Linked DNA regions of Tamandua tetradactyla. The protein of the gene in region 3 purifies or fractionates together with the protein of the main gene of each other region. This does not show direct contact. Links are inferred from orthologs where the notes say so. Each region holds a gene or a part of one and is shown on either strand. Other genes may lie near its edges. The genes, in order: ARID2, SMARCD2, BCL7C and SMARCD3.

What was found.
Region 1: the proteins of BCL7C (region 3) and ARID2 purify together in Homo sapiens (affinity purification with mass spectrometry; 3 studies listed by BioGRID and IntAct, counting the BioPlex papers as one, with this or other methods). This does not show direct contact. The link is inferred for Tamandua tetradactyla from reciprocal best matches to the Homo sapiens genes BCL7C and ARID2.
Region 2: the proteins of BCL7C (region 3) and SMARCD2 purify together in Homo sapiens (affinity purification with mass spectrometry; 3 studies listed by BioGRID and IntAct, counting the BioPlex papers as one, with this or other methods). This does not show direct contact. The link is inferred for Tamandua tetradactyla from reciprocal best matches to the Homo sapiens genes BCL7C and SMARCD2.
Region 4: the proteins of BCL7C (region 3) and SMARCD3 purify together in Homo sapiens (affinity purification with mass spectrometry; 3 studies listed by BioGRID and IntAct, counting the BioPlex papers as one, with this or other methods). This does not show direct contact. The link is inferred for Tamandua tetradactyla from reciprocal best matches to the Homo sapiens genes BCL7C and SMARCD3.

Annotation. Positions count from the first base shown.
Region 1 is NC_135333.1:105,665,414-105,672,725, reverse strand, and holds the start of ARID2 (AT-rich interactive domain-containing protein 2), read right to left. Parts: upstream 3,007-7,312; 5' UTR 2,870-3,006; coding exon 2,778-2,869; intron 2,664-2,777; coding exon 2,570-2,663; intron 1,507-2,569; coding exon 1,409-1,506; intron 1-1,408. UniProt on the Homo sapiens protein: Involved in transcriptional activation and repression of select genes by chromatin remodeling (alteration of DNA-nucleosome topology). Required for the stability of the SWI/SNF chromatin remodeling complex SWI/SNF-B (PBAF).
Region 2 is NC_135332.1:5,011,502-5,019,286, reverse strand, and holds the start of SMARCD2 (SWI/SNF-related matrix-associated actin-dependent regulator of chromatin subfamily D member 2), read left to right. Parts: upstream 1-4,781; 5' UTR 4,782-5,120; coding exon 5,121-5,336; intron 5,337-7,785. UniProt on the Homo sapiens protein: Involved in transcriptional activation and repression of select genes by chromatin remodeling (alteration of DNA-nucleosome topology).
Region 3 is NC_135349.1:23,599,673-23,606,995, forward strand, and holds the start of BCL7C (B-cell CLL/lymphoma 7 protein family member C), read left to right. Parts: upstream 1-4,309; 5' UTR 4,310-4,372; coding exon 4,373-4,464; intron 4,465-4,961; coding exon 4,962-5,040; intron 5,041-5,374; coding exon 5,375-5,483; intron 5,484-5,586; coding exon 5,587-5,748; intron 5,749-7,323. Other genes in the region: CTF1 (cardiotrophin-1), read right to left, coding at 706-824, 1,667-1,691. UniProt on the Homo sapiens protein: May play an anti-apoptotic role.
Region 4 is NC_135327.1:195,192,463-195,199,586, reverse strand, and holds the start of SMARCD3 (SWI/SNF-related matrix-associated actin-dependent regulator of chromatin subfamily D member 3), read left to right. Parts: upstream 1-4,108; 5' UTR 4,109-4,536; coding exon 4,537-4,614; intron 4,615-7,124. UniProt on the Homo sapiens protein: Involved in transcriptional activation and repression of select genes by chromatin remodeling (alteration of DNA-nucleosome topology).

The DNA.
Region 1 (7,312 bases), on a different chromosome or scaffold from region 3:
ATCAGGGGTAATTTTAAAATATAGATTTTAAACCATCTAAAATCTAAAGGATAAATCTGATGAATAAAACTAGAACATGTATTTAGCATCATTCCTCTCAATATTATATTGGGATATTATAATATTTCCATGCACAATGGAAACGAGCAAGTGAATGTCACCATAAATACAAAATTCTATACTTCTCACCCCATTACAAAATCAAGTTTGAGCAATTGACATTGTTTGTAAATTTTGCCCTTTATTTAAAAATATACTGAAACACATGCCATCACAAAAACAAAACAAACAAAAAACAAACAGCAACTAACCCTACTTAATAGTTTCTAGACTTCTGTATAACTCAGTAACTACTCCACAAAGTTCTGTGAACTCTTCAGCTTGAAGTCTGAAGTCACTCTAAGATAGCCAATAGAAAGTGCACCTGTGCAAGTTCTGCATTTCCTATTTCAGAATGCTGAAAATGACACACAATAGTAACTGTGTATTTTGAGCAGTAATAAATGCAAAACCCAAAGTATGCAGAAGCCACATTACAAAAAAATAGCCATTGTGTAAAATCACTATTAAAAAACAATAAACCAAAGGGTATTATTTTAGTTTTGAATAACAACCACCAACTAAAGGACGCTCTATGGATAAACAAACATTAAAAAGAAAAGATGACATAATAAATTACAACATGAAAATATTCCTAGAATAAGCGGGAGGACAAAAACCCCTAAATCACAAAATCTATCACATACTAACTGAATAAGAAATTTACTCTGCTAAATAAGGAGTCGAAAAGAGGGAAAATAAAAAAATTCCAAATCACATCACACGTCACAGTACCCCTTATTTTCCTAAACATATAATAATCCTTTTAAATATTAAGTCATTCAACATTTTGAGGAAAGATAATTCTAAAATCAATCCTGGTCACCTAAGGCATCAACATGTTAAATGTAAATACCAACTTAAAAACTACTCAATGGCATGGTTGTGTACTCAAGGTTTCATTAAAAAAAAAAATCTTAAAGTCATAAAAAGGTAAAAGAGTTTCCAAAACAAAGAAAAAATTTTCCCAAGGGATACAAAGTTTCATTAACTATCTTAACTCTTATACTAAGCATCACCTTTCTGCCCCTTGGTGGATATCGAACAATCAATAACAATGTCACAAAAGAATATTTACCAAGAGTGGGGGTGGGGTGTCACCTGTAAAGTTTTCATATGAAAAATGTAAACAATTCTAAAATAGGTGAGGAAAACTTGCACCTTCCTACAATCACACTTTATTGATAATGTTTCTTCGAATGAAATAAGCGATTAGAAACTGTTTTGTGTGCAAGGCTTTGTTTTGTTTTGCTAAAAACAAATTTCCCCCCTTATTTCCAAATACTGTTAAAGAATCACTACTACTTACCGCAAGTAATACTGTTTTAAAGCAAAGGCAGCGTTAGAACAACTTCTGGGAAAGTTAAACTCTTCAACAATTTCTCCCCACTGATTCTTCTCAGAAACCTGTTAAAAACACAGGCATACTTGCTTGAAACTGCACAATCCAAGAAAACCCTGACTTAACTATGAAATAAATACCCATTCTACAGAGATCTGGATATACCTAAGTCTTCGGTGGTTATTTCGGTTCGAGCCAAAAGAGTTACTATGCAAGAGCTGTGTGAATCACTGTTTTCACCAGAGAGCCCCGTATTTAATAGCACTTGTTTTGTTTGGGGGGGGGTTTGGTGGGTTTGTTTTGTTTTTGAAGCCCGGACAATAACCAATCGCAAGTCCCTCTGTCGCCCCCTTTTAAATCTCAACGCGGTCCGTTTACACTAAAAAAAAAAAAAAAAGTTCAAAAGGATCAATACCGTTCCGGACAGCGACGTCCGCGGGTTCTGGGGGGGGGGCCGGGCCCGGGGCCGATTCCGATCCCTCTCCCAGATCTATCCATCTCCATAGGCCCTTCTTTGAGGCCTACAGCTTCTGCCTAGCCTTGAAGCCTAAGATGGCTATTTGGAGACAGGTCCTGGTTTCTTTTGTTAGCCGTATAAACCGAGGGCGACTGGGCCGAGGCTGTGCCCCCGGCTGCCGAGATCATTTCGCAGCCGATTATCGATGTTAAACCTGCCCGCGCTAATTTTGAGTTGCACGAAAACTGCTCTCAGAGTCTGTGTGTCTCTGTGTCTCCGCCTGTGCTAGAGCGGCAGCGGCAGCAGAGCTGACGAGCGAGCGAGCGAGCGAGCGGGCAGGCGCGGGCGCGGGGTTCCGGCGGGCTCCCCGCTCGCCCGCACTCCCCGCCGTGGCGCGCCGACCCCGCCGGGCGGGCCAGGCACCCGGCAGGGCGCGAGCCGGCGCCGGGCCGCCCGCCCGCCGGAGCCCCGCGCCCACCGCGCGCACGCGAGCCACCAGGCCAAAAACAGCCCCGCCGCCGTCCGCCTCGGTGCCACCGGCTGAGAGCGAAAAGAACGCCTTTTGCCCCCGCGAGTCAACCCCCCCAGCCCCGAGCGCCCACTCCGGGGTCAAAGGAGACTTTTTGGAGGAGGCCAGCGAGAGGGAAATACAAATTAAAACTTCCACTCACCTTCGCGAATCCGCCTAAAGTAGTGACTCTGGTGTAGAGACCGTGAAGATCCAGCTCCTTCCCACCCACCGCAGGGATTTTTTTAAAAGGCGACCTGCGAAAGAGAGAATGCCCCGCACTTGTCAGCCGGGACCCCACACTCGGCCGGGGCGGGAGAGCCCCGTTCGCCCCGGCTCGCCCGGCACTGCCCCCCCGGTTCTGCTCTCACCCTCTGCTGTGGTGGAACTGCCGCAGCTCGTCCAGGAAAGCGAGTCCCTTTCTCCGCTCGTCCGGAGGCGCCTTTCCCGTCGAGTTTGCCATTATTTTTTCAAAGGAGGTTTTTAAAAAAACCAGATCGGTGTTTTAAAAGCGTCCCCCGCTCCCTGCGCTTCCTACCAGAGCCCGGAGCCCATTCCTCGGCCGGCGGCGGCGGGGCTCAGTCATGGGCCGGCGGTGGCGGCGGCGGCGGCGGCGGCGGCGGCGGCGGCGGCGGCGGCGCAGGGAGGGAGGGAGGGGGAGGAGGAGGAGGAGGAGGGGAAAGAGGGAGCAGGAGGCCAGGGGGAGAGGAGGGAAGGAGGGAGGGGAATTTCTAAAAAAGTTTAAAGAAATCGGAGCGAAACTAGAGGGACAGGCGAATGCCGGATCCGCGCGAAGCCGCGGGGCGAGCGCGGCCCCCACCCCCACCCCTTCCTTCCCTCCCTCCTCGCGGCCCGGCTCTCGTCCGCCTCAGCGCCGCCGGCCCAGGCGGCTCGGCCCAGGGACGCGATTCAACATGGTGCTGCTGCCGTGCGCGCGCGGGCGGGCGAGGGGAAAGGCGAGCGGACGGTGAGGAGCCGGGGCGGTCAGAGACCAGGGAGTTTCGGCGACCGCGGCGGCGGCGGGGCTGGGGCAGGCGGGGCTGGGGGTGGGGAGGGGGAGGTCTGTGTGGTGGTTTGTGGAAAGCGGGGTGACAGCGTATATTCCGGCCGCGGCTCCGCGGGGCCCTCGCACACATTCACGCGCGGCCTCGGCTGCGGCGGCCGGGGCGTCCTCAGGCAGAAGGCACCCGCGGCGGCTGAGCCGCTGCGCGCCGCCCGCCTGCTTCCCTCCCCGCCAGCCTCCCTCTCTTGTCGCTGCCAGCGCCGCCGCCACGGCCCGGCAGCCAGCGCCGCACAGCGACCCCCGAGGGCCGGCCGCGGCACTGCACCTGGCTCCACACCGCCCCGGCAGCTCCTCGCGGGGAACAATAGACTCGGCTCGCCGGGCTTAGGGTTCATCTGCAATGTGCCGCACAATTCACACGCACACAAAGCCGACGGAAAGGGGGGCGGCGCGGAGAAACGGCCACTACCGGTTGTTCAGGGTTAGGGGTGGAGGCGATGTTCGCGTCCCCGACCCGGCTATTGAAGGGCCGCCTGGTAGTCACTGCCAGTCGGACCGAAGCGGTGAGGTGCTCCGGAGGGAAATGAAACTCTGAGGGACAGCTCCTCAAGCTACGCAACATTCACAAATTGGAATAAAGTCAATTTGTTAACTTTTTTCCCCCAAGTCTAAAGGAATCGGCTTTTCTGAGCTTCATATCAGTATTCTGGAGCCTGGTTAGCACATTTTCCATGAATTACCCACTAACTTTAGCAAACTATACATTCGGTGGAATGCTCTCAATTCATATCATCTTTCGTTGGTTTCACTTATCAAAGTAGATTAATTCTACAATCATAGTTATAAAACAGTAAACTGGTTGGGATGCAATCTTTCGAACTTTGATAACGTTTTTATTTTCATATTAAGACATCTCAAAAACATATTTAAAATATTTTTCCTTGCTTTCTATCAAATTCCTTAAATGCAACCCTTGTTTAAAATATTTTGAAGGCTTAAAAAAAAAACTTAGCTTAAATGGGAGAATCAAACCATTTCAACAACCACCACTACCTAAGTCTATATTTACAGGGGGTGTTGCAGCCGGCCCCTTGCTACAAATGCCAAGTTTCACAGTAGAGCAACGTATTATTCCCATTTTAGTGGTGGTCACTACGGACAAAGTCCTAACCCAAGGTAGTTTGTGTCTGGAAGGATTATTATTCCAGGTAGTCCAATCACGCCGATGGGAACATTTATTTGGTGGTGAAAAAAATTATGTAATATAGCCCAGAATGCTATGCCTCTGGTGCTCACTTTAGGAATCGGGATTATTTCCCAAGAAAAGTTTCTCTCTTATAATGGGTTCGAAATAAAGCTGTAGCTAGGAAACTCCAGACACCCCAGGGCCTGTGGGGGTGGGTGCGGTGAACCAGCCAAAGGAGGTCGAGATGCTGGGCAGTGGCCCAGGCGGGGAGTGGGAGTGGGAGTGGGGGTGGGGTAGGAGGGAGAGACCCGGTCATCTGTCCCTTCCCCCACCGCCGGTCCTCTTAGGGGTGGTGGAGATGTGGGCCGCAGATCTCCGCGGCCCGGCTGTGCGGATTCCCTAAACGTCGCACTTGCTCACGGCCCCTTACGTAACTGTCAGCGCCGGGGATTCCCTAAAGGGGGTCATTCTATTCAACCATTACACACACCCAGGGCCCCTGCCGCCGCCGCCTCACAAAATGGCGGCGCCCATAGAGGAGACAGCAGTCGCTTCCTCTGCCCCATTTTGTGGGAGGCAAGAGACCCGTCAACATGGAATACCTCCGCTGAGGACGCATCGAGTTCTGAAATCTTGCTGAAGGGATGGAGCCAAGAGGATCTCCTTGGTTGGGAAATGCCAGCGGCTTTTAGCACCTCTACGCTTTTTTATTTTTTCATTTTCTCGAAGGAAGAGTCAGAAGCCGCCGGCGTAATTGTATCTGATGGGAGAAGGGAAAGCTGCGGCTGCCTGCTCCAGAGACTCAATAGCTTTGATTGCTTTTCCACATTCCTCGGCAGCAGACTGCGATCCAGTGGAGGGTCGCCTGGGCAGTCCGGCTGTCTTGTATGGGACGGGAACGGGGCGCATGCGGAGCGGACAACACCGGGCCTTGGCAGCGCCACTTGTGCAGACTTTCCGGTAGTTTTTAAATGCTAGGGATCACGGCCCAGTCTAGTCGTCTGAGTCGTGAGCTTCGGGAGTCCCGGAGGCCCCTGGCCTGGGAACTCACGTTTGCGCCGGGAGTCGGGTTGCCGGCGGCGGGCGGTGCTGTCGAATTCCGGTGGCCGAGGCGCACCGGGTCATTGCTGACCGGCCCCGGGCCAGGGAAGGTGCTAATGGGGCTGGAGTGGGAATGAAGGCATGTACGCTGAAATTTAAGTCTTCCGAGTCAGGATTTAGGGTTGTATGTTAGGTTAAACCTTAGAACGTTTTTCTAGTACCAACTATTCAGTGAACGGTCTAGATTTTTTTTTTAATTTCTATTTCGAAGGACAAAATGGAGACATTTTATGTTTTTACTTTTCAAGGAGAGATTGCCACTTTTAAACCACTAACTGCTATTAACATATGTGTATGTAGACACATGCGTATACAAAAGTATGTTTTGCTTTTCAGCGCAGGATAAAGATTTGGAGTTTTAATGTATCTTAAGAATTAAGATTTGATATGAATTGTTTTTTTATAAGAAATAAAAAAACTGCTTTTCTGTAGAAGAGGCTGTCATCGTCAAAATGGAGTCCTTATGTATATCTGATAGAATTTAAATTCCTAACACTTGGACATACTCTGGTCAAAGTTTTAAAAACAGAAACATAAAACTTGATGTTTATCTGATCGCTACCTGGTTTAATTTCCCCCGATTAGAAAAATGTAGGACGAAGAAGCTAAAGAAATGTAAAGGTTTAAAGAAAGACGAGATTCATATGATAATACTTAAATATGTATTGCATGCATAATTGATTTTGTGTTGTTTTCCATTATCAGCAATCATTTGTGTTTGCATGACTCTTTTGACTGAGGTGTTTTTGTTTTTGTTGATTTTGACCCTCTATTCCTTTCTAATGCAGAACTCCAGCTTTCTGCTCCCTCCACCTCCATCACTAAGTTCCACGCCCCATCTCCTGCAGTACCCCGTTGCTACTTTGGCTTTTGGATCACTAAGATATAGTTTCTGGTCCTATCTGTTCCTACTGATGTCCTTTATATTTAATATGGTTACCACTAATCAGTCTGTGACTTCGAAAAACACCCTATCTTAGCAACCAAGTCGCCAGAGAGTTTTTGTTTTGTTTTGTTTTTTTTATTGGTTTGCACAAATAGTAACCCTAGTGCATAGTATTATATTTCTTAGTACCATATTGCATTTCCTATAGTGGGCAGCATAGAGCAGGTGGATCTTGGGAAGGAAATGTCAGAGATGTACTGGCAGCTTTACAGCAATAGATATTCTCCAACTTACTTGATAAGATATGTAATTCATAGTTTTCAAGTATTGATGAAAACTATTCCTATAAAAAATTACCAATAGCAGTGAAAACTGTTGAAATTCAATAGTATAATTTACTGTTCTGATGAAAAATGACAAGACTTTATGGTAGGAAAAATGCAAAGCATTGGTTTTAATAGTAACTGCAAACCTTGCACATCATAATTACAGGTTACTGTTATTTTATGTTCATCTTTGATTCTTGTAAGTTTCGCTATTATTTAGTCAAGAAGTTGTGATTACAAGTTCTCTCACTCAACTACACTTAAAAAAAAACTATACCCAGTATCAAATGAAGCATGTTAGATTATCACAACTGCAGAAACAACTTAATTGAAGAATTGGTATGTCAACTAATTAAAGAAATTTTGGGCTCTTAGGTTACTCTGAGGTTTAAAAGAATTGATTG
Region 2 (7,785 bases), on a different chromosome or scaffold from region 3:
TACACTTGGTAGGGGCTTTGGGATAGGATGGCCTAACTGGAGAAACCAGTCAGAAGGGTTAGGGAAGAGATGCTGAGGGCCTGACTTACGGCAGTACGATGAATACAAGAAAGATTTAGGAGGTGACACCAATAGGGCTTCGTGACTAAGAATGAGCAGAGAGAAGGAGAGGAAGGAGTGAAATATAATTTCAAGTAAAAGCAGAATGAAGGTCCTTAAGGCTCACTCTATTCTCCTTTTTGCTTTTGGTTTCAGCTACCCTGCGTATCTGGTGGGTCACTCCATCTTCTTAGCTTTCCATTGCCTGCAAGACCAGTTTGAATGTCTCAGCAAGGCAGGGTTGGCCTTTTGCCATGTCTTCATGGCTTAACCAAGATGAAGCCCAGGGAGGAGAGGCAGACTGGAAGTAAGAAAAATGAGATATTGATTTTGAACAGATGGGTTTAAATTTCCTATGGAACAACTATCAGGGAGTTGGAAAAATGTATCTGCAGCTCAAGAGAGACGTAGGGTTGAAATTAAGAAATTTAGGGTCATCAGAAAATAGGCATTAGTTGAAGTTATGGGAGTAGATGAGTTTGTCTCGACAATAAAGAGGTAAGGATGGAATCACAAGGCCATGGGTATTATGGGTATTTAGGGACCAGTAAGGGAGGGAGAGATCCCTGTACAGACTCCTTTCCTTATCTTTCTTCTATCTTAGTAGCCTGTTGTTTAGCTCTGTCAGCAGCTCTGGGTCCAAATTCGAGAACCAGGAGGACACCTCTGAGCAGGTCTGATGTCAGAGTATTCTGTTCTTCAGGTGACTTCCAAAGCGATCAGGAAGAGGCCACTGAGACCACAGTGTCACCCAGGTCTCTGAATGTGTTGGAACTCTGGTTCTCTCTGGGGAGAGAATGAATTGGAGAATCATGCCCCAGCCCTTGGCTCCAGAGTGTTGATCTGAAGCCTACTTCTTATGTACAAGTACCTGCTCCCACCATTGGAAGTCTCTAGTCTTCAGGTATTTTACCTTCTAAACTATGTGGCCATAATGTGCACACAGAGGAGCTCCTCCCTGTCTTATACTTGACAATTCAGCCAAACTTATTCTAATTCTCCTCACCATGTACTATTTCTTGGCTTCAGTCCTTATTCTCTCTCCTTTGCCTAACTGACTCTTAACCTCCTTAATATAATCTCCTGCAGGAAGCCTTCACTAATCTCTTTCCCCATTAAAGCCATCTCTGTTTTCCTATGGCACCTGGTAAATATCTTTATCACATAAGGAAATTATTTATTTATACATGTATCTTCTCTACTAGACTATGTCAAGGACTGGCATATGGAAGTTGCTCTCACATGCTGTAAATATTTCTCAAATGCTAAATAGGCTGTTTTACCGTAGTATATAGCCCTTCTGCCACTTTGGCTGGGCTGTGCCCAGGGCCTGCTGTACCACCACATCCATGTGGGAGGTGGATGCTTCAATGGAGACAGGCTCTTGGTATGACCCCAGCAAGGCTGGATCTTGGCAAGTGTTTTCTGCCATGACCTGACTATCTGCCTTGCTTCTCCCGAAATTCTGACCTCCTAAGGGACCTCCATAGTGAGCAGTGATCCTCTGCTGGCCTGCTCTGGGGGACGGATTAGGCCATCTTGTTCCCAATGTCTTTCTTTGGTGAACTCTTTGGGGATTATTTTTCCCACCACAGGGAACCACAGAGTCCACACTGGGAAGTGTCCTTTTGTTGTATTTGGCTCTGGTTGTATTAAATACTTTACTTCCATTTCAGTCTCTTTGAGCATCTGTAGATCCAACAGGGTCAGGAGGGCCAAGTTATAAGAAAGCCCATCCTCTAGAGTATAAGACTAGGAGCATTGGAGGCCTCAATAAAAGTTGTTTAACTGAATCACCAAAACGTGGGCTGTAAGAAGAATAAATACTGATGGAAGAAAGGAGAAAGCAAAAAAGATATTCCAAGCCTTGGGAACAAAGGAATGCTGCCTCCATGGTTTCAAGTCCCGAAATTGGCTGCATCATTAGGTTTTGTGAGGTGCTCTCCCTTTCTCCCATCTCTATCAGGTCTTCAGAGGTAACTTATCACCTCTTTTCACAAGTTCCTGAACTGTCCCAAGGGGAGATATCAAACCCTATTTGCCTGTTGAGTGACTACCTCTGGTATTTTCTTTGAAACAAAATTCTCCAGAAAACATTTTCTGGTTAATCAGGACCAGATTATGATACTAATCAATTCCCTTTTCTCTGAGTCCCCAAGGCACTTACTTTCTAGTTTGAACACTATTTGCAAGTAATAACTGACTAGAAATATGACTGTTAACAGAGGTAATAAATATTATGTATGGTTAATTGCTTGGGTTGTGGATTCTAGAGCCTAATTGGAACCAGGTTGAATTCTAGCACCATCATGGTGAGGGTGGGCACGTTACTGAATCTCTCTGCCTCAATTTGTAAAATAGAGGTAAAAATTATATCTATCTCCTATATAGTGCCTACCTCATATACGTTTTGAAGATTAAATGAGCTAATACGTACAGGCACATATGCTTAATAAATGTTAGCTATTCTCTGAGTCTACCCTCTAGGAAATTTTTCTTAATCCCTCCGCTATCTCTGCCTCCCAGCTCCTTGAGGATATTTTTTCACAGCAATTAACTCATTTCTGGCTGTATATGTTTACCATTTTCTCCCACTACACTTAAGCTCATTCCTTTGTTCACAAACATTTGTTGAGTGGCTTATGACATTGATCAAGAGAGGCACAGTTCTCACTTTCATGGAGTTTATATTGTAGTGGGGGAGCCGGATCAATAGTAAATCAGAGTATACTTAAATAAGTAATTACACATTGTGATAATCACTATGTGGGAAGTAAACAAAGTAAGGGGAGAGCTTAGAAAAGTTAAGGAAGAGCTGTGAGTAGAGATTCTGAGGTGGGAAGCGGCTTGCCAGTTTGAGAAACTGCAAGAGTACCATTGGGGCTCGTGCTTAGAAAACACCAGGCGGTGATTTAAAATGAGGCCAAATCCTGCAGAGCCTTATGTGCATGGTAGGGAGTGTGGCAATCGATCTAAGCACGGGGAACTAGGGAGAGTTCAGGCAGAGGATTAACTGGATCTGGTTACACTTAACTATTTTATCTGTTTTTTTTTTTTTTTTTTTACATGGGCAGGCACCAGGAAATGAACCAGGTCTCCCCCATGGCAGGAGAGAATTCTGCCACTGAGCCACCATCGCACCGCCCTATTTTATGTTTTTAAATGCATTTATTAGCTTGCCTCTTTTCCAGAGTAGTGGTTCTCTACAAGGAGGATCATATCAGAATTACTGGGGAGTTTATTTTTAAAATGTAATACTGGGAGTCTCCTCCCACAGCCCCTACTGGATTTGAATGGTAGGCATGGAAGGGAGGCAGGAATATTTTGGAATAGCTCCCCAGGAGATTCTGATTCTCCACCACTTTGTTGAGAACTGTTCAACAAGCTTGAAAGACTCGAAGTAAACAACGTAATCTGCCTCATCATGAATTCTTAATCCACTTTACAGGCTGGGGAGAGGAGCCATGGTTCAATGACTGGAGCTGTGACAGTTCCTGTGGCATGTCCCCAGGCTGGGAGGTAAATCAACTTTTCAGGAGAATGAGGAGCGGGATCTCTGAGAGGACTAAGAGGCAGGAAAACAGCAGCAGCCAGATTTATTACTGGAGGAAAGATACAAGGAGGTACAGATCAGCATACCTTTCTAAAAAGCACTGAAGGAGTGTACCATACTAGGATCTGGGCTACCCTGATGCTCGGAGGGAAGCTATCATTTGGCTGGAGATGAAAACAAAGCAGGTTAGAGGGCCACATAGTGAAAGTCTCTATCTTGGCTACTCAAAGTGTGGTCCCAACAGCACACTTTGTCTGACAGCCTATTACAAATGCATAATCTTGGGACCTACCCCAGACGTAATGAACCATAATCTACAAACCCCACGCGTTTTTTATGCTCAAAATTTGAGATGCGCGGATTTGTAACATGGTGAAGAGACCCCAGACCACCAAGGCAGGCTCCCTGTTGCAGCTGAAACCAAAAGCAATTTTAATACCTACTAAGACAAGACAGTAGTTTCTGAAAAGGTGTTGAGTTCTTGAGAATTAAGTGTTAAAGAAAACTAGAGAAACACCTTATTGAACTCCAGGGTGGTTTTTTATAACGCAAATTTCCTTCACCTAGAAAAAATTTATGTGGAATAAAATAGTAGGCTTCCTTAAAGTGAGGCAGAGCCATGTTTAAAATGTGCGATAAAAATTCAACGCTTGGCCAAGCAAACCATTCACACAGCTGGATGGGGTCTGGAACCACCGATATCCCTTGGCAGCTCCGGGCCACCAGGAAGGGCTTTTTAAGAAAATGGACTTGGCAGCCTGTTCTGCCCCAGAGGGCAGCTCTCGGTTGAGTTCTTTTACGTTGAAAATGTAAAAAGGAGACATGACAAACTATTTTCATGGAATATGGTCGGGCAATTCGGTAAGGCGGTTAACACTAGAGTACTCCCCCATTCACTCTTCAGTCACTCTTGAAGTCGTTCATGACCTTCGATCTCTGACCCTCGCGCTTTCCTCGGCGATTCAGTGCGACGTCTCCCCTCCCGCCCCTCGGACGAAGGGCCGGATCAAGGGCTGCGGGCGGGACGCCGGGGCTGGCGGTTAGGGGCGGTGCCTGCTAGGGGCGGTTCTCGCGAGGGGCGGGATTTGAGGAGGCATCCAAGCATTGGGCGGCTAGGCATAGGCGGGGCCTGGTGCTGGTCGGGGTTGGGCGGGGTGAGGAGTTGCAGGCCCCCGGACTCCCGCGGCCAAACCTGCGGCGGCCGGGGACTGCAGGCTGGTGCGTAGCAGATCCCGGATCCGGAGTTTCTTAGACAGGATCGGAATCAGTATCGGCCGGGGCCCAAATCCGGTCAGTGAGGAACTCGTGAACTTGTATTAGTAAATCCCGGAACCTGGATCAACAAACCCCAGTACCCGGATTAGCAGAATCCGGAATTTAGATCGGAAAGTCCCGGAGCGCGGAGCACGGAGCGGACTCGGCGCGCAGCCCGGAGTCCGGATTGAGACACCGCGGAGGGGACGGAGCGATGTCGGGCCGTGGCGCGGGCGGGTTCCCGCTGCCCCCACTGAGTCCCGGCGGCGGCGCGGTGGCCGCGGCCCTGGGGGTGCCGCCTCCTCCCGCGGGATCCGGCATGCTGCCTGGACCAGCGCTCAGGGGACCTGGGCCGGCTGGAGGCGTGGGGGGCCCTGGGACCGCCGCCTTCCGCCCCATGGGGCCCGCGGGCCCTGCAGCGCCGTACCAGGTGAGAAGGGTGGGTGGGTAAGCAGATCCACGAGGGCGCTGCGGGCAGGGGTGGCGGGGGCCCCGGGTGAGGCCCTGGGGAAGCCTGCTGGGCAAAGGCACAGAGGCTCTGCATGAGGTGCTCGTGGGACATGGTGGAAGACAAGGCCAAGGACCCTCAGGGTGCGGTTAGATGGTGGTGGAGTTTGGGGAAAGGTTTAAGAGGGATTCGGGGGTGGAACGTTTGAAACAGTTGGGAGGGCCTGGGGCCTTCCCTCGGTAAAGACTCTACTTGGTAACTGGGAGGTGGAGCAGTTGTGTGGAGGAATGGTGTGTGGGTGGGTGGTTCTGAGAAGTCTAGTGTAGATCCTAGCGTATAAAGGTCCTGGGAAGTGAGGAGAAAGTTTTGGAAAAGGGGAGTCTCAGGGGCCTTCACTGAGCAACCAGAGTTACCCTACACTGGCCTTGGTCGCACCCCAAGTCTGTCTTGTTTTTTCTGGTTGGGAGCTGGCAGCGTTCTAGCATCCCCTGTCCCCTTGGCCCACTGTGTCTGAGATGGCTCCCAGCTGCTTAGTGATAAGGAAGGCCTGACTTCACTGTCCCTGGAGGCTGAGGTTAGAGTAAGGGATTTCACCCCTGTGCAGAGGGAGACACTACTCCTGGGTCAGAGTAGAGTGTTTACTGGGGATATCCCAAGACCAGAGATGGTGGCAGCCAGGCCTGAGGAAGAAGAGAGGCCCAGCCCAGTGACAGACCATTCCTGGAAGACTCTCTTTTTGGCTTCCTGCCTATTGCCATAGTGTCCAGGAGTTGATTAGTCTGGAGGAGCAGAGCGGCTCCACTGAACCCTGCCAGTCTAAGGCCGAGGATCCTGGGAGAATTGCCTCAAAGGGTCCTATTGCCTTGACCTTTTTGAGCGTTGGAAAGAGAGCTTCTCAGGTTCCAGTTCCAAAGGCTATTGAGAAGCCTCAATCTTTAGAGTCAGTGTGAAGAACTCTACCGGACCCTGTTGGTGGGTCTCATCAGCCCCCTAGTCCATTGTTTCAGGTTATTACCAGAATGCTTGGAAATTGTGTCTGTCCTTGTCTTGGCCACCTGCACTTCCATTTAGCCTTCATGTTCTGACAATGCCATATCCCAACTCTTGTGCCCCAGCATTCGGTGCTGGCTTCTCCCAAAGCCCCAATGACTTGGGGCTCCTCAAGTCATTGGGCAGAGGTCCCAGAAATGGAGCTTCATGGAGTAGGGAGTGTGCATTCCACCAGGGCCCCATGGCCCTCAATTTCTAAAGAGATGGTTAACTGGGGACAGTGATGTTTCTCACTTTTTATCCTCTTTCTTCCCCCCAAATAAAATAAAAGATCTGGGTCTGGGACAGAGATAGACCTGGTTCCAAACCCTCCAGCTAGGGTCTATCTTTCCTATCATACCCTCCCCCTTGGGCATTCAGGGGTCAAGGATGTCCCTGAACAGTCCCGACATCAGTTATTCCAGCCCTTGGACCTATTCACTGAGACCTGGGTGTGAGTCTCCCTGTGGGCCTTCTGCCTGGGAGGGACCTGGAAGCAGATAGGGATTTTTCCAGTTCCCTTGGCATACAACCCATGGGAAGTATGCCCTTGGGAAAGCCCCTGTAAGGATGTTTTGTGGGGAGTGGTCTTGGGCCTGTGACAAAGCCAAGCTGGCTGGGTGGGTCTCCTGGGCTTCGTGGTGGGGACCTAGGGGATGGCATTGACCTTCTGTTTCCCAGGGCTTCCCATCCCATCAGCTGTTTTTTTTTTTAATTAAAAAAAATTAACAACAAACAAAACATTAAGATATCATTCCATTCTACATATACAATCAGTAATTCTTAACATCATCACATAGTTGCATATTCATCATTTCTTAGAACATTTGCATTGATTTAGAAAAAGAAATAAAAAGACAACAGAAAAAGAAATAAAACGATAACAGAGAAAAAAAAGGTTATACATACCATACCCCTTACCCCTCGCTTTCACCATCAGCTTCTTATCATCACCTCCTCCTCCTCCTTCTCCTCTAGGGAGTAGAAAAAGAGGTAGGTGGGGAGAGGAAGAACCCAGCTTACTTCGGGTGAGTTCAGGAACAGGAGGATCTGCTTGTCCTCTTTCCATGTTCAGTGTGACCTCCAGGAAAAAGGACTTAAGATTTGAGGAGCAAAAGGATTTTTTGACTCTTAGGGCTCATCAGATGAGCCTGAGGAGTGGGGATTTGAGGTCCAGAAATGGGCAAATAGGGAAACTTATTGAAAAAAGGAAAGTGATGACCCACCTCCCTCCAGATAGTGGCTCTAGCTGTAGATCACATTCAATTGAGAGCTTGAAAAAAAGAAAAAGAAAACACATACACATATAGCAGGGATTGCTGGTGTCACCTCAGAGACTTCCATATACTTTCTGCTCATGGTGGGCATGCTCTCCTTTCACTTAAGCCCTTAGTCCCAGCCA
Region 3 (7,323 bases):
AGAGGTACAGTGACTTGTTCTAGGTGGTCCAGCTAGGAAGCAGCAGAGCTGAAATTTGAACCAGTGTTGAGAGTACTACAAAGCTAATTCTATCTCTATTATCCCAGTATCAGCTGTCATAATTGCTATATTACTTTTTTAATGTTACCATGATTACCCAATGTCAGTTTAGCAAGTTGACAGGCTTGATTCCAAATTATATCCTTCCTTCAGAACAATGTACATGAGGAAATATCTACCCTCTTCCCAAACATATTAGGGGATCCCCATTCTCTGTAAAGGTGCCCTCTTGAGATGGAATTTTTGCCCCAGATTGAAACCCCTTCTTAGACTCTGAATATTCCTGCAAAGAGTTCGCAGATCATCTTATTCAGTCGCCTCCTTTTACAACTGGAGAGACCAAGGCCTATGGACTTGAGTCAATGAGATCACCCAGAGTCTAGAACCTGTGATCCAGACTTCTGCCTCTGATTTACAGAACCAAGGGAGCCTCCAAGCTGAGGAGGATGGCGGGGCATGTGGGGCACAGATAGGGGCCGCCTCCAATTTGCTGGGTGGCCAGAGACAAATTACTATTCTTCTTGGGACCCTGATTCCACAGTTGAGAAGCAAGGCTGAGAATGTGGGTGGTCAAGGACCCCTGGGCTCTTGCGCTTTCCAATGATACCCCCAGCATACCCCCTCCCCATGCCCACCCCCACTCACATACTCCTGGAGCAACTGTTCGGCATATTTGTTGAGGAGGCAGGCAAGGCTGTGTGTTTGTCGGATCTTGGCCTCCAGGTGAGGAAGGGGTGAGACTGAGGAGTCAGCCCGGGGCTCTTCTGGAGGGAAAGGCAGGGAGGAATGAGGGCAACCCGAACCCCTGTCCTCAGAGCTCTCAGGCTGGGCAGGGTCTGTCCTATACCAACTGAGGGAAAGTGACCTTAGTTAGTGACTGTTGGAATTTTACGTCCATTGAAGCACAGAACTTCAAATCAGTACGGGCTTTTAAGAAACAAGCCCTTCATTTTACAGATCGGGAAAGCTAAGTCCCATTCTCTCCTTGATCCCCCTATACCCCCTTCTTATGGGTACTGGGCGGCATCAAGGAATCGGCGGCTGGCTCTGCGCGACACACGCCAGAGGGTGGCACCCAACGGGAGAGAGGACTATTTTTCCCGAGATGCCTAGCGCGCCCAGATGCATGCTGGGGGATGTAGTCCTAGCCCGGCACCTCCCCCCCGCCCCCGCCTGAGTTTCCCACCGCCTGTACGGATACTGAGCTGCCTCGTCACTCACTATCTCTTGTGGCCCAAAGCCTTTCCCTCCCAACTCTATCACTCCCTTCGGCCTCCCAGCTCTGATTCTTTCCGAAGACCCAGAGGAAAGAACCCAGGCGCCAGTCCCTAGTCTGGACGCCAGACTTCCCCACAGAGGACTTGAACCGGTGGTCTGGCCTCTGAGCCCAAGTTCCCGAAACCGCAGCCCCAGGTTCCTATGAACTCTGGTGCCCGTTCCCTTCCGGCAGCTCACCCGCTGGTTACCAGACACCGGAGCCCCGCGCTCCTCCTCCCAGGTCGCTGCCCTCCCAGCCTCGGGGGAGGCGGGGACCCTGACCCCGGCTCCAACCCTTCTGGCCCCTGCTCCCCTCGGGAACCCGGCGTCAGGCCACTCAGCCCCTTACCCAGACTTCCCTCCCTCCGGCTCATGTTGGCCCCAGGATGATCCCGGTTCCCTCCACGCCCCCCTTCCGAGGTGAGGTGGGGGGAGAAGGGGTTAAGGGGTAGGGGCGTGGTTCGGGCGCAGCCAATCAGGGCCCAGACCCCAAACCTTCCCCCCCACCCCCTTCCAGGCAGGATTCTTTGGCCCTGAGCTCAGATCTTAGACTTTCCGAGAAGGGGCCCCAAGAGGGATGCCTGCTTGTTGGCACGGTGGGTTCCGGACCCAGACCGAGACCTGAGAGGACACAGACTGGGACCTGCGCCCCTCTGGAGGGAGAAGGCTAGAGCGCGACCTGGGACAGGGCCTGGGGCTGGGGTTGCTTTCTGGGGAAAGCTTGGGGGAAAGGAGAGGGAGGGTGCTGGGCTGGCAGGACAAGAATGTGCAGGCCTTCTCTCTTAGGGCAAAGTTGAGGTTGGGTGGCAGTGTGAGGACACTGGGTGGAGCGAAGGAGGCCATGCGGTGGGAACCCTAGGGCTTGGGGCACACATGCCCAGACATACTACTTTTGCCCTATCTTAAATGTGTTCCACCTGGTCTGCAAAACCTTATTGTCATGCTGATAACCAGACTCCCCCTCCCTCAAACACATTCTGGTTGTCACACCTACCTGGAGGGAGATGATACCCCATCTCATCTCTCCTCACTAGGCCCAGAGACAGAACTCCACCGACACATACACATGCATCTACTTAAGGGTTAATGCATACAGCCACTCATTCTTCCACAGGAACAAACCTTAGAGGCAAGTACAAATTCACCAAGCTGGTGCAAACAAACCCTGAAAGGTCTGCACACACTGACCTATCTTCATGATGATTACCAAAGACCTACTCTGTCCAGGGCCCTGGGACTCAGAGATGATCCATACCAGTTCTCTGTGCCGTGACCAAGGACAATGACAATAGCTGGCAATGGGGTTATTGTAAACAAAGCCTGTGTTTCTGTGAGGATGTTAATATAATCAGACAGTGGCCAGGATGAAGGAAGAAAGGAATTAACTGGCAGAGGGTACAACAGGTGCAACTGAGGCCAATGCTTGGTAGCAACCTCAGGCACCCACTTATTCATAGCTCATGTTTATTGAGTGTTTACTATGTGCTATACGTGCATTAACTTATTTATTGCTCATAACCTCATAAAGTAGGTAATATTATCACCCCATTCTATAGATGAGAAATAAAGGTATAGAAAGATGCATGGCTTATCCAGCATTTCACCTCAGATCAGCAATTCACCTCAGCAATCTGCCTCCAGAGATGCTTTCCTAACAACCTTACTATTCCTTCATCCTTCTGGATACAGCAACACCAGAACTCAGATCCAACAGCCACGACCTGGAAACACACACACACACACACAAAACACAAATTTAGACATGGTCATACTTCCTGACAAATAACTTCAAGTAACACCAACAGACACACTCATTTTTTTTTAGGTAAACTTTTCATGGAAGTATAATATACAGGCAGAAAACTGCACATATCCATACAGTTCAATGGATTTTCGCAAAGTAAACACGCCCAGGGAACCAGCATCAGATGGAGAAACAGAACATGACCAGCTTCCAGAAACCTCCCACTTAAGCCCTCCCAGACAACATCCCCCAATTATCCTGTTTTCTCACCCCATTAATATACCTTTGTGGATTTTTGAACAGAACCATACAGCTTGTACTGTGTCTGGTTTCTTTCACTCAAGATTTCCTTCATGGGACTTGTTTCCATTGTTGGGTGCAACAGGACATCAATTACGTTGTTGCTGTATGACATGGTATGAAGAGGATACTTTTTTTTTTCACTCATTCTCCCGGTGATGGACGTTTGGGCTGTTTCCAGTTTGGCATTATTATGAACTGTACTATGAACGTTCCAGTACGCGTCTCTGGGTGCTCATACCAAGGCATTTCCTTTTGGAAGCTGATAACCTAGGGAGTTGAACCCCTGGATCACAGATAGGGTTGGCATCTGTTCAGCTTCACCAGAAACTGTCAGTTTTCTAAGCGGCTCTACCAAATGACACTGTGCACCCTCCCGCCCCCCACTCCAGAAATATAAGAGAGTTCCAGGTGCTCTACTTCCTCGCCTACACTTGCTAAGGTCTGTCATTCTCATTTTAGTCATTCTGGTGGGTGGCGCCGTAGTTGGCACTCAGTAACTTGGGTAGCGAGCGTGGTAGATTCCTTCAGGCTGGCCGCACACATGCACACAACACAGCGTGTTCAGGGACGCCACGCGCAGCGGACGTACACCGGGCCACGGACACTCGCGCGCACCCCGGCACCCACGTGGCCTGAACGCACCGCCTCAGCCCGGCCGCGCGCTTCCAGGCGCCGACTCCCCAACTCTCCCTCTCCGCAGCGGGCAGGGGGCGCTGCGCGTCCGGGCGTCCCGAGGGGGCGGGCCCGGGGCGGGGCGGGGCGGGCCGGGCTTCCAGGCCTCCAGTGTGGCCGCCCGCGCCACCGGGCCGCTCCGGGGCCGGGGCGGGGCGCGGCGGCAGGAAGCGGGGCGGGGACTCGCGGAGGCGTTGGGGAGCGAGGGAGGGCGCGGCCAACTCCCGGAGGGACGGCAGGCGGAGACAGCGGCTCCCCGGCCTGGCGCCGAGCCTGAGCCCGCCAGACGGGAGGCGGCTCCGCCGCGGGCCCGGGCCGGGCCTCAGCCCTGCCAGCATGGCCGGCCGGACCGTGCGGGCCGAGACCCGGAGCCGGGCCAAGGATGACATCAAGAAGGTGATGGCGACCATTGAGAAGGTCCGGAGATGGTGAGCGCTGCAGCGGGGCCGGGAACGGGACATGGCGGGGCCTCCGCCCCATTATGTGTCTACACTCGCATCGCCAGCTGTGGCCTCCAGGTGGTAGGCGTGTCCCCCGGCTGTGCCCGGATCGACAGGGCTCTGTTGCTCTTCCCCTGATAGTAACCAGCCGGCCTCGGCTGAATGGGCCTTCGTTTGTGCCCCGCCCCCTAAAACTGTTACACCTCTTTCCCCCAACATGCCCCAGTATCTTTATTGCCCCATTCCCAGCTAAGCTCACAGCTGTACCCCTACATATGCCCCAAGGGTCTGCAGGGCCATAGTCACAGGCCATACCCTTTCTGTGCACCCCCATCTATGTTCTGGGGTCTACAGGGCTCTTTTTCTCCCCCAAACTATGCCCCATTAGCAAAGCTGTCTCTCCCCAATCTCTGCAGGTACCCCCAGATCTTGGGGGTCTCAACCCCTAGGCCTCTCTGACCCAGTTACTCCCACCCCCCCAACAGGGAGAAGCGCTGGGTGACTGTGGGTGACACTTCCCTTCGTATCTTCAAGTGGGTGCCAGTGGTGGACCCCCAGGAGGAGGTGAGCAAGCCCCCAGCCCCTGCATCTGTGCAACCTCAGACAAGGCCCTCCCCATCCTGGCCTCGACCTCCAGTTCTCGCTCTGAGACCTCAAATGTAGCAGCCCAGACAGATGGTAATGATTATTAGGCAGACCCCAGCCTTCCCCCACCCCCCCAATACCTTTTTTCCTGCTCCAGACATCCACATTCAGGATCTAACCCAGTGGACACAACCTCTTTCACCTAAGGCAGAGCCTTTTGCTTCTCTGTGCCTCAGTTTCTTTACTGTTCAGTGGGAGGTTTGCAAATTAGAAAGCCTCTTGGGGCTCTGACCCTTACTCCTCTAACCCCCAGGAGCGACGCCGGGCAGGTGGCGGGGCGGAGAGATCCCGTGGCAGGGAGCGGCGGGGCAGGGGTGCCAGTCCCCGAGGGGGTGGCCCTCTCATCCTGCTTGATCTCAATGGTATGTGGGGATTCTGGGACTGGGGGGTCAGGGGGAATTGTGGGGATTGGGTGAAGGGACTGGGGGCCTCGGGCCCAACCTTCCTGGCTTCTTGATCTCACAGATGAGAACAGCAACCAGAGTTTCCATTCAGAAGGCTCCCTGCAAAAGGGCACAGAGCCAAGCCCTGGTGGCACTCCCCAGCCCAGCCGCCCAGCGTCACCTGCTGGACCCCCGGAAGGGGTTCCTGAAGAGACTCAGCCCCCACGGCTGGGCCAGGAGAGAGGTAGGACCAGGTGCTTCTCAGGGATCCCTCCTCTGGGTCCTGTCCTCTTCAAAACAGAACTCACCCATGCTTACTCCCTCTCCTGTGTGGCCTCTGGAAGGCCTTCCCTGACTCCTGTGGAAAGTCAGCACCTACCTCTAGCTACTGTCCATTTCATTCCTCTGGCTTCTTAGGATTTGTAGGTCTCTTATCACCACGTGAACTTTTCACATAAATTTAATTTTTTATTACTTTAATGCCCTTCTCCCCCACTCCACCTGTCAGCTTCATGAAGCTTGGGTCCATAACGATCTTGTTCACTACTACAGCTATGGACCACCACGTGGCACACAGCATTTGCTCAATAAATATTTGTTGAGTGATTAAATAATAGCAATAATCATGAGTAATTAATAATGAAGATGAAGATAATAGTTAACATTTACTGAGCTCCTATTATGTGCCAGACACCATTCTAAGCACTTTACCCCATATTCATGATGTAGATATGCCCACTCATAGATGAGGAAACTTAGGTCCAGATGAGTGAAGTAAGTTGCCCAACCTCATACAGCCATGGCACCAGTGTCTTGGGCATGGGTCCTCCTCATCCCCTCACTCATCCAGTCAATCCTGTCTGGTCAGTACCACCTCCCAGACATCCCTGCTCTCCTCTCCTCCACAGTCCTTGCCTGGCCCTGGCCTTCCATCTCTTACTCACTCTGGCTCTTGCCTCCACATTGATCTCCTCTCCTCTGCCCTGGTCTCCTCTCTTCCAGTCACCTCAAAAGGCTGCCAGGAGAGGTGCAAGGGTAGTTCAGTTGTAGAATTCTCGCCTGCCATATGGGAGACCTGGGTTCTATTCCTGGCCCATGCACTTCCCCAAAACAAAACAAACAAACAAACAAAACAAAACACAAAAATTCATCAAATGGTGCTGCAGTAATGGGCTACTCATGTGGAAAAAAGAATTTAATGTGACCCCTGCCATACAGCATACAAAAAAAAAAAGCTATCAGGGCAACGTTTTCTAACCCACAGGTTTGTTGCAGTGGTTTCCCTGCTTCAAAGCCTTCAATGGCTCCCTGTGGCCTTTGATGCCTCAGCTTGGCATTTAGGGCTCTATATGAACTACCCCTGCTGACCTCATGGTCTTCCTCTGAGAACTCTGGGCCTGGGCCTGTGTGTGGATTCTGCCTACTTCGTTGCACTGAGGGCGCTACCTGTATTCTCTCATTGAATCTTCACAACAACTTCATGTAGTAACTGTGTTATCATCCCCATTTTCTGGATGGGCAAACTGAGGCCCCGAGAAATGAAGTAGTTGCCCATGAGTCAGGAATTGAACCTAGGCAGTTTAACCCCAGAATCTGCTTGCTAAGCATGTGTTCCCTCTGTCTAAAACGTGTCCCACCTTTCCACTGGCCAGATCAAATCCTTCTCACCCTTATCATCCCACACAAATGCTCCTTCCTCTGTGCTGCTTCCTGGACTGCAGGTTCACAGCTCCTTCCTCAGTGCTCCATGGCCCTCCGGCTCAAGTGACTGGCCCGTTTGTGTTTGTTTTCCCCAACTGGTCTGTGCTCCTGGCACAGA
Region 4 (7,124 bases), on a different chromosome or scaffold from region 3:
AAGCCTACAGGCACATGGGCGCTGCTCCAGGTCTTGGAAGAACCGTGGGGACAGCCAGGGGGTTGGGGGACAGGAATGTGCCATGATACCCCTTGTCCGATCTTTCAAATGCCCTGTCTGGAGGCTGAAGGAAACCCCTCACTTCAGGTGGAGGATTGGGGTGCAGGCCCCCCACACTTCCAGGAGCTGGGCATGGAAAGGTTTAGGCCAGCTTTGGGTCAGAGCTACCTCTGGGTGGTTTAGTGATGGGGATGAGAAAGGGTTCTCTTTCTGCTGGTTCTAGGCAGAGCCTAGAGGTTTTAAGAACGAAGAAATGCCAGGGGCCAACCTGAGAGCTCCAAGTGGTCTCACTTTACACACGCACACACACCAATCAGTGAGGCTAACTTTATCCAATTAAGGAAAGCTATTGCTGGGGGTGCAGGAAAAGCGGTTGGTGGTGATGAGTCTCACCCTGTCAGTCCTTTCCTCCCTCAGTCTTTATTTCCTTTGTTCCTCTCTTCCCCTCTCCCTTTCTCCCTTTCCCCCTTCCCAGCTTCCCTTCTCTCCTTGTAGTCTCCCTCCTTACATTCGCTCAGCCCCTTCTCCTCCCCCTCCCCCTCCCCCTCCCCCAATTCCCTGAGCTCTGTCCCAGTAATGGGACTTCCCCAGAAGCCAGGGAGCGTGCGGACCCAGGGCTCAGGCCCTAGGCCTTGGTGGCCATCTTCCCGAAGGGAAGGAGTTAAGTCTTTCCCCTGCATCCCTCCTCCCCCTCCAGCTCTCTCCGCCGCCTTTGAGTCCTGCAGCTAGGCCCTGGGCTGACCTTCACCGGGAGGGAGGCCGCAGTGCGCATGCCCAGGCCGACTCCCGGCCGGCTCCCGCAACTGCCGGGGGACCCCGCGGTTGGGGTGGAGGGGGGCGGCGGCTGCCAGGCCGGGACGCGCCCCCAACACTGCACACCCGGGCTGCCGCTGCCGGCTCTGGCGTGGTTCGGGAGGGGGTGGGGGAGAAGGCAGCCCCAGCCCGTCCCGGCAGGCCGCGGCTACATCCTTCTCCCTGCGTGGAGAGAGGCGCTTTGCCATTTGGTGCTGGTGGTGCTTCAGTGAGGGAAGGAGAGATGGGGGGACGGCAGGGGGGACTCCGGCTCTGGGCTGCCGAGAGGCAGCCCAGGCGAGCCCGGAGCCTCTGTCCTGGGTAGACAGGCAGTTGGCCCTCTCCTTAGACACACACAGGCACTCTCCTACCCAGAGCGCTACTTGGGCCGGACAGGGAGTGAGATCCCCGTCGGACTGGGAGGAAGGGCCGTCTCCCTGCTTGAAGCCGGGCTTTTCCTGGGCCTGTGTGGAAGCCGGCCGCGTGTCCAGCAGTGGTGACTGCTGGAGCGTCCTTCTGGGCTGAGCTGCTGGGGATCCGGCCTTTGTGAGGAGGGAGCCCTGGCTGGGTGTGCCCCAACTGGTGTCTCCGCCCCTGCTTTCTGCTTTCTGGTCTGAAGACTCCCCTGAGCCTGCACACCTCTGGTCACCTTTGTAAAAGCGGCATGTAAACGTGTCTGATGGCGGTGCCTTGTAAATTCGGGCTTTGTGAGTGTGATATGGAGGTGGTCAAGGTGTGCCTGTGTGTGTCAGTCCTCTTGGCTCCTTGTCTCTTTGGCATTTGCATTAGCATGAGTGCTTGGTGTGTGTGTGTGTGTGTGTCTGTATGCATCATGTATTTGTGGTTTGTGCAAGCTTAAGGATCTCTCCCAGAGGGGTGGCAAAGCCAGCAGGGGGTGTGGAAGAGGTTGTGATCCTGGCATGGCCCAGGAGGGGTTTGTCTGTGGAGGTGAGTGACACCTATCACCTCCTCCATCTCCTAGACTGATGAACTGCCTATCCTTGATTCTTGATCCCTGGGGTCTCCCCAACCCCTTCACAGGTGCTGGGGGGCTCCCACCTTTGTTCATGCCCCACCCTAATACTTCCCACTTGCCCAATAGGGAGTGCCCATCCCATCTCCTCATACTCCCTTCTTTTCCTCAAAAGGTCTCTTCCAGAGTTGAGAACTTTGAGCTTTACACAAAGTCTGGAGATGTCATACCCTCTCATCCCCCAGAACCTCCACGTCCTGTGGTCTAGCTTTCTCATGCTAGAAGTTCTCACAGGGCCTGGGGGTGGCTACAGTGACTCTCACACCCTGAAGAACAAGGCAGAGTGTGATCTTGGTCCACTGAATTTTTAGGTGGTTTTGAGCATCATCAGGCATTTTTGTATTATTGAATCCTGGTGCCCAGGCATGGGAGTGAGAGGCCAGTTCCTTACTTTACAGAGCTGTAGCATCACTGAGGAAACCAAACCTAACACACATGGAATGCAGGGCACATCAGACATTACTTAATCCAGTGTCAATTCATGAGGCAAAGTAGATGAGCCATGGGCAATCAGAGAAGAGAAAGATCAGGGATGTCTTCCTGGAAGAGGTGGGGCCTGCACTGGAAAGGATGGGTATGATTTGGACAGGCCGAGGGGAAATGGAGGGCATTCCAGGCAAAAAGAATACTGGGAGCAGAGGGATGGGAATGAGTCTGGGGTTTTGGAGGTTAGTGGGAGACTGGAGCAGAGAGAAGGGTGTTGCTGGGGTGTGGCTCAGAATGCCCCACTCCAGATTACCAGCAGCCACCTTTATGGGTGATGGCGGATGGAGGCAACCCACCCACCCAACCCAGCCTGCCAGGGACAAGACATTCTGTGTGTGTGGATTTGGGGTGAAGCCTTGGAAGAGATTTGGTAGGAAAGGGATCTCTAGGACTCCTGCCAAGCCTGGGGTGGAGGACAGGTGTCCTGGACCCAGATGCTTTCTGTGGCCTGTTGGGGGCTTGACAGTGGACACACATATGGACAGAGGCACCCAAGAGCACAACCAGGGCCCAAGGGAAATCAAGCTGGGCAAATACTCCCTTGGTTTTCCTTGTCCTGAGCTCTGAAGGCATTCTGAAGGGTTTGATGGTCAGGACCACTTCCCACCTCCAGTGTAATACCAAGTCTTCAGGACCTAACTTCAAAGAAGTTTTCCAACCAACCCTCCCAGGCATTGCTCTAGCCTCATGTGGATTCTGGCAGGGCCGCCCCTAGAGGCCTGTCAACTTGATAGGCTGTTGTCCCAAAGCCTGTGGGACCCACAGAAAGGAGAAGAGAGGGTTGTGGAGTCTAGGGGCGTGGGGGGGGGGGGCGGGTTCCCCTCCTGGGAAATCAAAGGCTTTGTTCTTCCTGTTTCCTGCCCCTCCTCCAAACCCCGGGCTGCCTTCTCCCTCCACACCACCCCTCCTGGGGTTCTCTCATAACCCCAGCCTCTCCACCCCAGCTTTCTTTGGGGTCATGAGGCTGCCCCCACCATACCCAGCAGCCCCAGCTACTCCAGGTCCCCCACCCCGCACCCAAGCCCTCCTTGCCTCATTCCTGCCACCCACCCTTCTGTGCACCCACCCCCAGCGCCTTCCCTCACATTTTCTCTCCCTGTTGTCATGAGCTTGATCCTTGTCCCTCTTTCCAAAATATTTCCCCTATTACCCTCACTTTCTCTCAGAGAGACAAAGACTCATATACCCAGAAATAGACTCACAGAGAGCTGAAAGACATAGGCCCATGCACATACATACACACACACCAGAGCCTTTCATAGAGAGACACACAGAAAAGGCATCTGTCTGTTGTACACACAAATAACTGTCCACACCCACAGCCACAGAGTCTTGCCCACACCAGGACACAGACACACGCAGCCATGGGAGACAGGGTCACATACATCTGGGGAGAGGAGGACATCCGCCTGCCCAGGCATACCCCACCGCTGCTCCTCACCCTGGGGCAGGAGGGAAGGCCTCCTCCGGGCTCAGGCTCTCCCCAGATTCCTTGCCAGTGAATGTTTCCGTACTTGGCCTGCCAGGTCCCTAGGGAAAGGGCCTCAGAAATGCAGCAGGAGCAACTTGGTGGGGGGGGGGGGATGAGTTGGAGCTGACTGTTCCCTGCCTGGCTCTGCCGGTGAATTCCCTAACCGAGAAACTATTTGTGGAGAAAGCTCCGGGTGGCCGGCGAGCCCCCTCTGCCACCTCCCCTCCCCGTCCCCACCCCCTCGCCAGCCTCCCCGGGCCCCTCCAGCCGGCCTCCGGCTGCTGTGCTGCTACCCCAGCGGCCAAGGAGACAGTATTTTCAGTTTGCCTCCCCGCTTATCTGCGCTGTTTGGACAGCCAGCTTTGAAAAGGCAGGATTTTCTGTCCCCGCCGAGTAAACAGCCAGACCCCGGGCAGCCCGGACTATTTCTGTCTTATCAGTGCAGGAATGCGGCAGCAGCGGCGGCGGCGGCGGCGGCAGCGGCAGTGGTGGCAGCAGCTGAGCAGGAGTGGCGTGGGCCGTGGGCCGTCAGGGCAGCCCTGAAGGGGCCCCCTCCCCACTCCGCTCTAGTAGAAGTGTGAGAGAGCCCAGCAGGACTCAGAGGGGAGAGTTGGAGGAAAAAAAAAAAGGCAGAAAAGGGAAAGAAAGAGGAAGAGAGAGAGAGTGAGTGAGAGGAGCCGCTGAGCCCACCCCGATGGCTGCGGACGAAGTTACCGGAGGGGCGCGCAAAGCCACGAAAAGCAAACTTTTTGAGTTTCTGGTCCATGGGGTGGTGAGTGGGGGAAAGTTAGCGGGGGAGGGTGAGTGAGCTGGCTCTGGCTGAATGGAGGGATGATTGGGAGGGGCCGGGAGGGCGCTCCCTTGCTCTCACCCCTCTAGCTGGGGGGTGCGACGGCCCACGGCCCAGCCCCAGGATTGTGCCAGTGCCCCTGGCACCCGAACACGTCACCAGGCGGCTGGCAGGGGATGGGTGTGCAGGCGGGAAAGGGAGAAGCATTTGCATGGGTTCTTGTCAGGGGCTGGGGGTGGGATTTGGGGACTATCCCAAGTGAGGGGGCCCCCTCTGAATCAAGCATGTTGTCTTCTATTCTTTTCCTTGTGGGCCCAGGTGTTACCTCTTCCCCATGGGGGGGTCGTAGTGGGGGGCATGGCATTGACTGGGCTGGGCTGTCTGGTCATAGGTTGGGATGGTGTCTCTCTCTGATTGTGCCCCAGGAGCAAGGAGCAGGTGACCCTGGAGGCACTGTGAGTGGGAAACTCTCTGGCATGAGCAACCGCTGCCTCCTGACAGGGGAGCAATGGGGCTTTGCGGCTGGCCTCTGCCATCAGGCTCAGAGAGAGGCCCTCTGTAGGGACAGACCTCCAGCGAAGGGGTCTGAGGGTCCCTTTGGCAGAGTCAGTCACCACAAGCTGATGTTCTCAAAGCCTCAAAGGTGTGAAGGAAGGGCTAGAGATGGGGATATGAGGCCTAGAGATCAAAGGGACAGAACAGCCCTGTCCTGCCACAGGAGGCTGTGAAGGCATTTAGGGGGGCTAAGGGAGACCAGGGAAGGGGACACTTGAGCTGAGTCAGCAGAAGACCAGGTTAGGAGAGCTTGGGGAAGGTTGTGGGAATAGGGTGGGGATGATTCAGGCACTGGGAGATGGCAGGGGCTCCAAGATTTGGGATAGGTGATAGGGATGGAAGCAAAGTATAGAGGAGCAGTCAGGATTATTATGAACAAATTTGGTTAGGACCCCAAAGCCAGTACCTTCTCAGTTGAGGGTGGCCAGTCTTTAGAATCTTAGCCTTCTGTGAAGTAGCCCTGATGGCTGGCACAGTTTTCTGGGGGTCTCTTCAGCAGATCAGTGGATATCCCTGGCCTTGATCAATGGGGAATGCACCTGATAGGGAAGAAAGGGCATCCCTGGGGCAGCCTGTCCTCCAGCTCCAGGGATCTCTGGGGGTAACTTCCCAAGGGTGTGTGTGTGTGTCCACCAGCCGAGTTCCAAGTCCCACCCTTGCTGCCTGGGGAGTCCCTTTAAAATGACCCATCTAGGAAGGAGAGAGGCTATTAATGTGGATTTTTTGTTATATGACCAATTCAGAGATTCAGTTCTTGGGTGGCCGAGAGCCCCACAGCCCTACTCCCAGGCCCTGACCTATGCTGGTGGGGAATGGTTGGGTCTGGGCCCCATTCTGTTCTGCTACCCTGGAGGTGTGAGTGACAGGGTCAGGTGGGGTGGGGGAGGCAGACACATGAACCAGCAGGTTTCACTGCGGGAGAGATGGGCTGTGACAGCTGGCTGGCTGAGGGTAGGAGGGGCATTAGGGTTAGGGAGAGTTGGCATTTGGAAGGGGAACCTCAAGCCCAGGGTTCAGGCTCCTCCTTGTGTCTGGTGGCAGCTGTGCTCCCGGGGGGTGAAGCGGGTACTGTTTAAATGATAACAGGGGCAAGGCTCCTTCCTTGCTCTCCTTGTCCCAGTCTCCATTCCACCCACTCTCTTCCTTACAGCCCCTCTGGCCCTGCCCAATCCCTCTTGTGGAATCTGGACAATTGGGTTTTAAAAGCCTGCGGAGCACTTAATTTGGACTCGTTTGCATCTCATTTACATCCCATCTGACCACCCAGGGATAGTGGCAAGAGAGTGATTGCTGCCTCATCTCCTTCTCCTTGGCCTCTTTTGAACCGTCTTGTGGCTTGCACTGGGGGTAGTAGTGGGAAGTGGAGGAGATCTGTAAGGATAGGGCCATCTCTGGTGAGCTTGGTGGGTGGGAGGGGAGGGAAAGATGTAAGATCTAAGGCTGGTGCTTTGACCTGCCCAAAGTGTGCTTGGCATCCCCCTTCTAGGCCAGCTTTCCCCACTCCTCCCAATCACAGAAGGGTCTGTCCTCAGCCCGCAGCTTCTCACAGCCGAGGTTGCCTCCTGCCCTACCTCCAGCCTTCATCTTGGGAGCAAATCATGGGTGTGGGCAAAGTTAGTGAGGCTGAGGTACCTGGGTATGGAGACTTGGAATCAGCCTAAAGGGAATGGTGTTTGGGGTTGAGGGGTCAAAAGCAGGGGGCCCAGAGAGATGAGTGGGTTGAGATGAGAAGAAGTAAATGCAGTGCTGATCAGCCCAGGAAGTGAAGAATAGGAAGGAGGGAATAAAAGGAGGAACAGCAGAAGTCAGAGCAAGGAGCTCAGCCCCTAACTTGAATGAAGCAGCAGAGAGCAAAAAAGACTAGGTCCTGGCAGGTATTGCCTTTGCTAGGATGAGCTGTGTGACCTTGGTGACGCTGCTTTTCTCCTTGAGCCACA